Linked DNA regions of Arabidopsis thaliana. The protein of the gene in region 1 interacts with the protein of each later gene in a pairwise test. Each region holds a gene or a part of one and is shown on either strand. Other genes may lie near its edges.

Region 1 (3,758 bases):
GCCAAGGGTCGAAGAATAAACAAGACAGTGAATTTTTAAAGCTGTCGTCTGATCCACAGATAGGTGAAAGTTTGATTTCGTTATTAATTAGTGGGAAACAAATGGAGATTTGCTGAAACGTACTCTCGATAACAGTTCATATTCAAGACTCAAGAGAATCTCGTATATTCTAAGGAAGACGTACCTAAACAGAAAGTTGGTCCCAAAAAACGAGAGAAGGAATGAAAGATCAAGGATACATGTTTTATATACATGAAAAATACTAAATTTTAAAAGAAGTATTAAACGTTTTTATAATGTCACCGGAAAGAAGATGTAAATGTATTGATCAAATCATCTGACTATAAAAGTAATTCAAATCACCATTTTTTTAAATCAATTTGAATATTTGATGAATTTCCGTATATAAACAATCAGTCCCGCTCTTGCTGTATAAATGAAACGTCTATCAAACATTAGCTAGTCTTGTACTGGATTGCCTTTACAGACAAAAGATTATACTGTATATGTATGTGGTCTCATGCAAAAAAAGTAAAAATGATTCTGTGTACATCTGTTTTGATTTGCATATATATTGGCTTAAGTGGCAAAGGTGCATGCACTATTTCTATTTCTTTGATAAAAGTTTTATGATGCATGCATTCTTACCAGTGATTTCTTTAAAAGGAGAAGACATTTGTTTTGTAATAGTGACGAGAATGTAGACAGAAAAGGAAAGGAATCAGCACGTGTTCATCGCTCGACACGTGGCCAATAATAGCATTGGATTCAGAAAAAAAGAAAAAGAAAAAAGCGAAAAAACCTGTATAACAGGAAAAAAATACAATCTGCACCAGCCGGGAATCGAACCCGGGTCTGTACCGTGGCAGGGTACTATTCTACCACTAGACCACTGGTTATTTATTTAAAAGATTTATATTGGTATAAAACCTTGACCATAAAATGTTCCTAGTGCATCCACTAAGATCAAATTCATATTAATAAACAAAAACATAAAATTCAAACCGATATAGCAAGATTGCTGTTAGTTTTGTCTTCTAAATCTGATAAGTGTTCGTTATTGTCGAGGTTATGTAGCTAGTTTATATATTACTTGTACTAAATTTCAATAGGGCAATCAAAATATACGGATTTTCATGTGTATATATTTTTCTAAATTTGCGGTTTACAAAGAAAAGTTAGTGGTTGATCATATTGATTTCTTGAAAGGGAAATATTACCAATAAAATGATAAAATTGCCAAGAAAAATTAGTAGTACGATCGATAATTTAGTGATATTGGGATCCAAAGAGATGATCATGCACTTAGTTAAGACTCCATTTTCTGATAAGAGTTAAGTGGCGGTAGACCCACAAAGAAATTTGATTCGGTATTGTTATTATTGAGTAGAAAAACAAAGATGGAGTGTTTAACTAAATCATGTCTAATAAGTAGCAAGGTAGGTCAATATAACGTTTTACAAACGAAAAATAGCATTGCATATTTAATTATCTACCAAATATCTTAAGTCAGTCGAATAAACTAACTCATTATGTTATCAAATCAGCCGCAAATTGTGCCGTTTAAGTCAATACTATTTTTAACTTAGATATTTAGTGAGTAGACTTCATACTTGCATAGTCTAGTAGTTATCATTGTTTAATGCAATTTTTTGGTTTTAATGTAAACTTATACTACTATTTGGTCATGTAATCTCACTTTCTAAAAAACCAATGTAATCATCCATAATAGAAATAAAACATTTATTTAATATAATTAACTAATTTTTAAACATTAAAAAGAATAGATTTATTTTTATACATAAAATAATAGAAATATAAATATATATATATATTATTATAGGTTGTTTATTGTAATCCAAAAGCAGAATAAAATTTGGGATAGGTATTAAGAGTCATAAATCTTGAAAATAGAGTCATTAATTAATAAAGCTGAAAAGGAAAGATTAAAAAAAGAAGAAGAATCCTCTAAAATTGAATTTGGTAAGAGTCCACGTAGGTCAAGAAGAAGAAGAAGAAGATGTCGTGCTCGTGTTGTGTTCCAAACGAAAAGCGTCTATGTTCTCTTCATGTACCGTTTCTGGGTCCCACCCCCCTTTCCTTCTTCACTCTCCCCCCAATTCCTCCCTCTCTCTCTCTCTCTCTCTCTCTCTCTCACCAAAACGTAAATCTACTCTCTCTATCGCAGCAGACACAGAAAAAGAGAGAGCGAGAGACTCTGCTCACACACATATTTACTTCCCTAACTTGTCTCTCTCTCTACACATTCTGGTGAGTTTCGTAAGATTCAACAATCGTTTAGACTTCTTCTTCTTCTTCTTCTACAGCTTTTACGTTTTCTGGAAAAGAGATTTTTGGCTGATCACTACGTTGCAGGTATATGATTTCTCAAATGTGAGATGGGTTTGATGTTCCTTTTCGCTATTTCTCATCTGATTTTGAATTTTCTGCGGATTTTGTGAGGAATCGGTAGATTTTGATGTTTGTTCTTGTGGGTGGTTCATAACTTCATACATTTAGGGGATTAAAAGAAAATTAATTTACAAATTCGGTCCTTGTTGTGAAAAAGATTTATAATCTAAAAGACATTAACTTTACTCTCTCCTTGAACAAGTTTTGAATTTTGAATCTTTTTCTGATTTTGATTTTCACTATGTTCATAGGTAATTGCACAATTCTGGGTATACAAAATCCAAACGTTACGCATATTGAATTGAAAAATCTCGATTTTGAGTTCTGGGTATGAATAAAAATCTCACCTTTTTAATTAATTCTTACTCAGGGAAACAGTAATCGATGTTAAAGACATTGTTAGTCCAATGGCTTGTCTTCTTCTTCTTCTTCTTAATCGGTTCCGTCGTCACCGCCGCAGAAGACGACGGTAGCTTGTCGTTATGCAACTGCGACGACGAAGACAGTCTCTTTAGCTACGAGACAATCCTCAACTCGCAAAAAGTCGGCGACTTTCTTATCGCAATCGCTTATTTCTCGATCCCAATCGAGCTGGTTTACTTCGTGAGCCGCACCAATGTGCCTTCACCTTACAATTGGGTGGTCTGCGAGTTTATAGCCTTCATTGTTCTCTGCGGCATGACCCATTTGCTCGCTGGTTTCACCTACGGGCCTCACTGGCCTTGGGTCATGACAGCTGTCACTGTCTTCAAGATGCTGACTGGTATCGTCTCTTTCCTCACGGCACTCTCGTTAGTCACTCTCTTACCATTGCTTCTTAAGGCTAAGGTTCGTGAGTTTATGTTGAGTAAGAAGACCAGAGAGCTTGATCGTGAGGTTGGGATCATTATGAAGCAGACTGAGACGAGTTTGCATGTTCGTATGCTCACTACCAAGATTAGGACGTCTCTTGATCGACACACCATTCTATACACTACGCTTGTGGAGTTGTCCAAGACTCTGGGGCTCAAGAACTGTGCGGTTTGGATCCCGAATGAGATCAAGACGGAGATGAATCTTACTCATGAGTTAAGACCGAGGATTGATGATGAGAATGAGAATGAGCATTTTGGTGGTTATGCTGGGTTCTCGATACCGATTAGTGAGTCTGATGTTGTGAGGATTAAGAGAAGCGAAGAGGTGAATATGTTGAGCCCTGGTTCTGTGCTTGCCTCAGTGACTAGCCGAGGGAAGTCAGGTCCTACGGTTGGGATAAGAGTCCCTATGCTTCGGGTTTGTAACTTTAAAGGCGGGACACCAGAGGCGATTCACATGTGTTATGCGATATTGGTGTGTGTGCTTCCATT
Region 2 (3,758 bases), on another chromosome or scaffold:
AGATTTCTATGGCATAACCGGTTGGGGTCTTTTTGTTAGTGATCGGATTTATGGTTACCTTAACAAAATCAAAGAAGCCTTTCTTCATTGGAACGCCCACTCTAAGCTTCTTCCCTGGAATCTCCCATCCTTTTGGAACAATTTTTGACTTCCCTGGCCATATCACTGGCCCCAACGTTTTTTTGTTTGAACTTGTTGCATCCATGAGTCCATCTCTTGGTGTCCAAAATCCAATAATCCTCTCTTCATTTCCGACAAAATTTATGATCTCAAACTTTGGTGACTGGAGCTGCCCGTCTATGAGTTTAAACTCTCCTGCCAAACCATTGAATCTTACCTCCGAGAAAGCCTTTTGAAGACTTGGACCATAGAGAGAGACCCCTACGTTCCCCAAATCTGTCCTATTTTTTGACAAGGTGCTCCCATTATCATACCATAAGCTCTTTGTGTTGGCTTTCTCCACAGCCTTAGCCAATGCAGTAATTGAATCATATGCCCATAATGCAAAAACGTTTAGATCATCTCTCATCGATGGATTCTCCTTCTCAAATGTTCTTTTCCATCTCAAACGGAAATCTCCGAGCTCTTTCGATTTGGGGACATGGCTCCTCACACCTAACACGCCCTCTATAGTATTTAAGCTACGACCATTGTTTATATGTCTCATCATATGCGTCATTCCATTGGTCATTAACCATACATACCCTTCCTCCATCATCCCGATATCCCTAGCTATCTGAAAAACCCGTAAAGCGAGACTTGATTCCATGTGGACAACAAATACTCTCGCTTGCCTCTCCATGAGCTTACGAAGTTCTTTCTGAATCTCATCATCGATAGCCTCCGGAGGGATCACACTTCTCTTGACTTCCACGTCTTGTAAAGCGTCAAACAAGAAAGGCATGAATCCTTCACCAAACTCGTTGTCCACATAAATTGCGACGACCCTTCTCCACCTAAAGAATTTGAAAATGGACGCAATGGCCCTGACCTGGGATGAGTCGTCGATAGTGGCTCTGACGAAGTAAGGGCTTTTGATGGATGTCAAAAGAGGGCTTGTTGCAGAGAATGTGATGGTCGGTACTTGAGTTTTGTTGGCCAGTTTGATCATAAAATCTGCTTGCATAGAGTTTATTGGTCCGATGATGGCGCTCACTTGCTCGGTTTTGATTAGGTCCAAGGCTGCTTGCACCACAAGCAACATAAAGAAAAGAAGAAAGGTTAAATATCCTCTGTTTTTGGATATAATATCTTCCATTTTCAATGGAAGAGTTACAACTTATAAGGCTAAGCCATGTTTGTCGAGTCCAAAAGAGCTCTAGTTGCAAAGTAATAAGACAATATTAATTTACATAAATAGTTAAAATTGTAGAGGTATCATAAGACATGTCACCAATAGTTTTCGACTATTCATCTAATATATTAAGACTCATGAGTTAAATATAATTAACGAGACTAATAGTAATCAGGATTTCTGCGACCATACAACCGTCACCATGAATTTCTAGAAGAGAAAAAAATTGGACTTCTCTATCAAGAGATTGCTCTTACCATAGACATTAGACCACATAAGAATACACTTGGTTTTTGAAGTATAGTCTAAAAGATAAATCGTCACCAAGACTCTTAGCATATACCCCCATATGATACTTTGATTTTTAATACTGATCTAAAATATTGGTCACATTCAATAAAATAGTAATTAGCTAAACCATGTCTATACGTAATATGTTTCATTCAACCGCAACTAATAAGTAATAAATCAAAATGACGGGAAGCTGAAGCAAGACATAGAGAAGTAACGAACCTGCAGCTGAAGCCTGAACAGTATCTTCCATGGAATCTCTAACGTGAAGCGTAAGTCTTGTGAGGTAATTTGGATGATCCGCGTAGAAATCGGACACGGCCATCTTTATAGAAGTGAGGCAGATCTTGGAAAATGTTGTATTGAGATCAAGAACTACTCCTACTTTGATTTCACTTGTTTGGTTTTGTCCTAAACCAACCCCCATCAACAAAAAACCGCAAACAAAGTAACTCAAAAAGGTGTTATTAGTTTTCATCATCATAATCGCCCCAAAACTGAGGAGACTTTATGTGATTCTTTAACTTACTTTTTTCCTGTTATATATATACAGTGGAAGGATCGGTTTGAAAGATACTTATAATCAATGAAAGACTTTGAAATACTATGCCAAAAATTGGTTTCTCAACGAAAGAGACATATCGATTTTTTTTTAAAAAAAAGTGTGTTGACTAGAAATTAATAAAACTGGTTTGAAAGAGTCAAATGAGGCTTTTGCAGATGAATTCTCTTTGAAAAGCAAACTACAAAATACCCATAACTTATTAAATAACCAAATCGTCTATTTTATAAAATATAAGGATCGCAATTCTTTCTTTTTTTTACTTTTAGTATTGTAATTGACATATTATAATATCATAATTGAAATAATTAAGAGTTAATTGTGCAAAATAAGATTCTTAACCCTTTTTGAGATCTATTTTTGAGGATAGCCTTTCTGAAGAAAAAAACTAATGTTTTATACATCCATCCCATGCTAATGCACGAGATAAATACTATTGTAAGCTTTTCTTATATAAAAAGAATATATACATTTTATCCAGATTTAATGGTAAATTTAAATATTATAATTTTTTAATAATTGTTTTGGCCAACTTTAAGAATTTTCAAATGTGTTTTGCAATAGGAATTACAATAATCGAAATAGGTTAGAGGTAATATTTGGAAATATATGTGTTTTAAAGAGAATAAGAATAAGCAAAAATGTGTTTGGGAAATGTAATAGGATTAAATTAAAAAAAATGGTTGAGAATAATTATATGCTTGCACACAAAAACACTAAAAATAGCTTATATATGTAGATATGTCCATACAATTAACGCAAAAAAATGCAATGAACCGTTTTTAAAGAATTCTTAGAAATAAAATGTATCAAAAATTGTCGTACTACTATAAAATAAATAAATGTTTTATAGAAGAGTGTATCTTGTAGATATGTGTACTTTGGTGGAATTAGCATACAGAAATTAAAAAATATAGGGTAAGTGAAGTGAGTTTCCCTCCAAGATTTTTAATTTTATTTTTTACGAGCAGTCGGAAATTAACGGAATTTTCTTAGTTTGGATTTATTCAGATTTAGTTTGTTCAACTATGCCATACACAATATGATTGTCCGTTGTAGAACAACATTCTCTTACGCATGTTCGAGAATAGGTCAAGAAGACGTATAATATGGGCAAATCGAAAACAAATATTCGTCAACATTATTTTTTCCAAAACAATGAAAATACATTAATCCTAAATTACAGTACATGATTTTGGATATAACTGAAGAATCTACATTTACGTGGGTGATGACGACATAAACAATTTTTTATGGTTGATATACAATAGTCTAATTTCTTAAAATTCTGTTGTGTTGAAGAATTGATTAAATTGAAATGCATTTGGTCCGATTTAAGTCATTAAAGGGTAACTGGAGGACGTTGAGTTGTTTAGCTTGGGTTATAAAGCTAAAAAAGTCTCCAATTCGAAGAGAGGGTTTCGCTAAAGGACAACCACTTCGTGAAAGGCAGTGATTGCTTTTACATAACTATGTGTACCTTTATCTTTCTTCCTCTGTTACGCTTCTTCTTGCTTGAGATTGTGATATTGTAGAGCTATGAGCATTTGCAAATAATGATATAGTAAATTATTGGATCTTTTGGCCGAGATGTAAGAATCACGCATGGTG
Region 3 (3,758 bases), on another chromosome or scaffold:
CAAAAGAGAAAAAAAAAAAAGGAATTAAGAGAAACAGAGAAGCTGTTGTTATTGCTCCTCCTGCACTTCCACTTCGTCTTCTTCATACTCATACCCTTCTTCCTCATCAGCCGTTGCGTCTTGGTACTGTTGATACTCTGATACCAAATCATTCATGTTGCTCTCTGCCTCTGTGAACTCCATCTCGTCCATTCCTTCACCTGTGTACCAATGCAAGAAAGCTTTTCTTCTGAACATCGCTGTGAACTGTTCGCTCACACGCCTAAACATCTCCTGGATCGATGTCGAGTTCCCGATGAAAGTCGAAGCCATTTTCAGACCTGTTGGTGGAATGTCACACACGGTTGATTTCACGTTGTTTGGGATCCATTCCACAAAGTATGACGAGTTCTTGTTCTGAACGTTGATCATCTGTTCGTCAACTTCTTTCGTGCTCATTTTGCCTCTGAACATGGCTGAGGCTGTCAAGTACCTGCCGTGGCGTGGATCAGCTGCACACATCATATTCTTGGCATCCCACATCTGTTGAGTGAGCTCAGGGACGGTTAAGGCTCTGTATTGCTGTGATCCACGAGATGTGAGTGGTGCAAACCCAACCATGAAGAAGTGGAGACGAGGGAATGGGATTAAATTCACTGCAAGCTTGCGCAGGTCAGAGTTTAGCTGACCCGGGAAACGAAGGCAGCAAGTGACACCACTCATGGTTGCAGAGATGAGGTGATTCAAGTCTCCAACTGAACAAAACCCAAACAAAGAATCCCATTAGCATATAGCTTGATCATACAAATACACTAAATTACTAAATCAACTAGAGGATCTTACAGCTTGGAGTGGTGAGCTTAAGAGTTCTGAAGCAAATGTCATAGAGAGCTTCATTGTCAAGAACCATACACTCATCTGCATTCTCCACAAGCTGATGAACAGAGAGAGTTGCATTATAAGGCTCAACAACAGTGTCTGACACTTTCGGTGATGGGAATACAGAAAACGTCAGCATCATCCTATCTGGATACTCTTCCCTAATCTTTGAAATCAACAACGTTCCCATTCCAGATCCAGTTCCTCCTCCTAATGAGTGACACACTTGGAATCCTGAAGAATCATTCACATCAACAACACACACACAAATCTAAATCAACATCAATCCTAAATATGACCAAATCGATAGCTAGATTGCTAAGTTTCTACACAACTACGAGATCGAAGAGAGCGATTTCTAACCTTGCAAGCAGTCACAATTCTCAGCTTCCTTACGAACAACATCGAGAACGGAATCGATAAGCTCAGCACCTTCAGTGTAGTGTCCTTTAGCCCAATTGTTACCGGCACCGGATTGACCAAATACGAAGTTATCAGGACGGAAGATCTGACCGTACGGACCGGATCTGACACTATCCATAGTACCAGGCTCTAGATCCATGAGGACGGCGCGTGGGACGAATCTTCCGCAACTCGCTTCGTTGTAGTAGACATTGACTCGTTCGAGTTGCAAATCGTTCTCTCCTTGGTATCTTCCCGTCGAATCGATCCCGTGCTCGGCGCAAACTACTTCCCAGAACTTAGCTCCGATCTGGTTTCCGCATTGGCCACCTTGTATGTGAAGAATCTCTCGCATCTTTGATTAGTAAGCTAGAGTATGAAACTACAAAAATTGAGAAAGAAAGAGAAAGAGAGAGAGAATTTGAAACGGTTATGACTTGTGAAGAAATGAAGAAGACGAAGTGGTTGGTTTTATACTAAATAGATAACGGAGACGGGATTTTTCATTTGGGTTGTTTTGCCGGTTCTAACTGTACTGGTTTACGTGAACCGTACCATACTTAACCAGAAAAATCAACTATTGAATTTTCAGTTATTCACAATACATTTTTTTATTGTTAAATTCGAATGCATTTTATTTCTTATGATTTAATTGGTTGTATTTTAGTGAAAATACTACTTTTATGAGTGTTTCTCTGTTTTTAGGAATATAAATTAATTTTTGTTATAACCAATTGAACCAAACCGATAAACTCAAACCGGTAACGTTGGTATTCTTCTTTATTGCCGCCACAAATGACGGAGGTAAGTAACGGCTGTTAGGTCCGTTGGCCCACGACATAAATTAATATCCTGAAATTTACTATTAATAAAACATTTGAAATAAAAATTAATAATTTTTTCCACTTTGCAAATGATTATGATTTTTTTTTTTTTCAAAGCAAGACATTCTGTATATTTTTTGTCAGTATGTGGAGAAAAAGTTTAATTCTACTGCAAAAAGACCCACTGGGAAAATAGAACAAAACAGTGTATTTCTTGAACTTTATTAAATCCCATAATTATAATTTCATGAAGGAAAAATGTTTTCACTTATAAATATAGATATTGCACAATTTGATCCATAAACAATAAATGTTTTTTTTGGTAGGCTGCATTAACTGCTATAAAGTATAAACATCTGCATTATCTGATCTGAAATAATAAGGAAAAAAACAGTGAGGGTGTTGTACAGATAGATCCAGAGTGTGGATCAGGTATTCATTCTCACGTGATGCATGTGAATACTGAAACCTTGAAGATAAAAAGGCTGCGAGATCTGAACAAATTCCTTCTTCTTTTATTTGTTCTCCCGCTTTTTTCTTATTCTTGCACATGAAGCGAACCTTGACAGACACGTGATTGATACCAACGGAAAAGCACGTGACTGGATTACTGTGATGTATTTTATATACGGTAAAACCACCAAGAATAATACACTATATTTATATACGGTAAAATTGTAATACGTCATACGATTTGATTTATAAAGTTTTAGATTTATTAGGGAATTAGGGACGATATCAAACAGAAGAATTCAGGATTAAAGAATTTAGATTTGAATTGTACTTCTTCATATCGTAAAATTAAGACAAATTACAAAGATTGATTTGTTCCACTACTTCTTGGTGATTTGAGATTAGATTCCAATATGTCGAAGCAATCATTAATATGAAATAGTAAAAAGCAAATAAGTAATAACAAAAGATGCACATGTGCAAGTAGATTTTCGTATATACATAGTTTAGTTGTTCAGTGTGCATTCGACTTTAAGATTTATCTTAATTTACTTGTTTGTTTTGACGGCAATCTAGTTTCGTGTGGATGTATTCGAGAGCTTGAACTAAAAAAAAACATAATTTAGTTTTTTTTTTTACGGCAGTCTAGTTTTGTGTGGATGTGTTTGATAGCTTACGCTTTATATATAAGTTTATAAATCATCCAATACTATTGTAGTGCGATGGGTGGGTCTAATCTGAACAGTAACGTGCAAATCACTCAATGATCAACTAGAAATAGTATAAAACAGGTGAAATTTGACCCTACGTGACGTGAAAATTAGAGAGAAAGACAGCAAAAACAGCTTTTAAATGATTATGGCCTATATCAGAAGCAATGTATCAATCTAAAAGAAACATATCAGTCTCAAAGTTAGAGCAACTTGTGGTGTCAGTGAGTAGTAGTGGCCATCAAGTTACACCATCAGTTTCATAACCAACTTAATCTTATACTAACTACTACTCTTCTTGAGCTTAATATTTTCTTAAGGTGATCGTTATCGTTTACCAAATTTAAACTCTCTTTTTAGGCTGGTGTTTAGATACTTAGAATATGGCATGGAAACCTAAGAAACGACATCAGCTCGTAAATAATATTTCATCTTTCTAAAGCTATTACATGAAATTTGGTCATTTTGAGTTTCGTGTGAAATAACCTAAACTTGAAACATAAATCTAGTA

Evidence for each region.
Region 2: the proteins of ERS2 (region 1) and GLR2.9 interact in a protein complementation assay, tested with the Arabidopsis thaliana proteins (one large-scale study listed by BioGRID).
Region 3: the proteins of ERS2 (region 1) and TUB8 interact in a protein complementation assay, tested with the Arabidopsis thaliana proteins (one large-scale study listed by BioGRID).

The regions. Positions count from the first base shown.
Region 1 is NC_003070.9:1,156,164-1,159,921, reverse strand, and holds the start of ERS2 (ethylene response sensor 2), read left to right. Parts: upstream 1-2,108; 5' UTR 2,109-2,376; intron 2,377-2,782; 5' UTR 2,783-2,796; coding exon 2,797-3,758. UniProt on the Arabidopsis thaliana protein: Ethylene receptor related to bacterial two-component regulators. Acts as a redundant negative regulator of ethylene signaling.
Region 2 is NC_003071.7:12,502,850-12,506,607, forward strand, and holds the start of GLR2.9 (glutamate receptor 2.9), read right to left. Parts: upstream 2,096-3,758; 5' UTR 2,070-2,095; coding exon 1,808-2,069; intron 1,183-1,807; coding exon 1-1,182. UniProt on the Arabidopsis thaliana protein: Glutamate-gated receptor that probably acts as a non-selective cation channel. May be involved in light-signal transduction and calcium homeostasis via the regulation of calcium influx into cells.
Region 3 is NC_003076.8:8,040,819-8,044,576, reverse strand, and holds the start of TUB8 (tubulin beta 8), read right to left. Parts: upstream 1,725-3,758; 5' UTR 1,616-1,724; coding exon 1,222-1,615; intron 1,093-1,221; coding exon 823-1,092; intron 735-822; coding exon 49-734; 3' UTR 1-48. UniProt on the Arabidopsis thaliana protein: Tubulin is the major constituent of microtubules, a cylinder consisting of laterally associated linear protofilaments composed of alpha- and beta-tubulin heterodimers.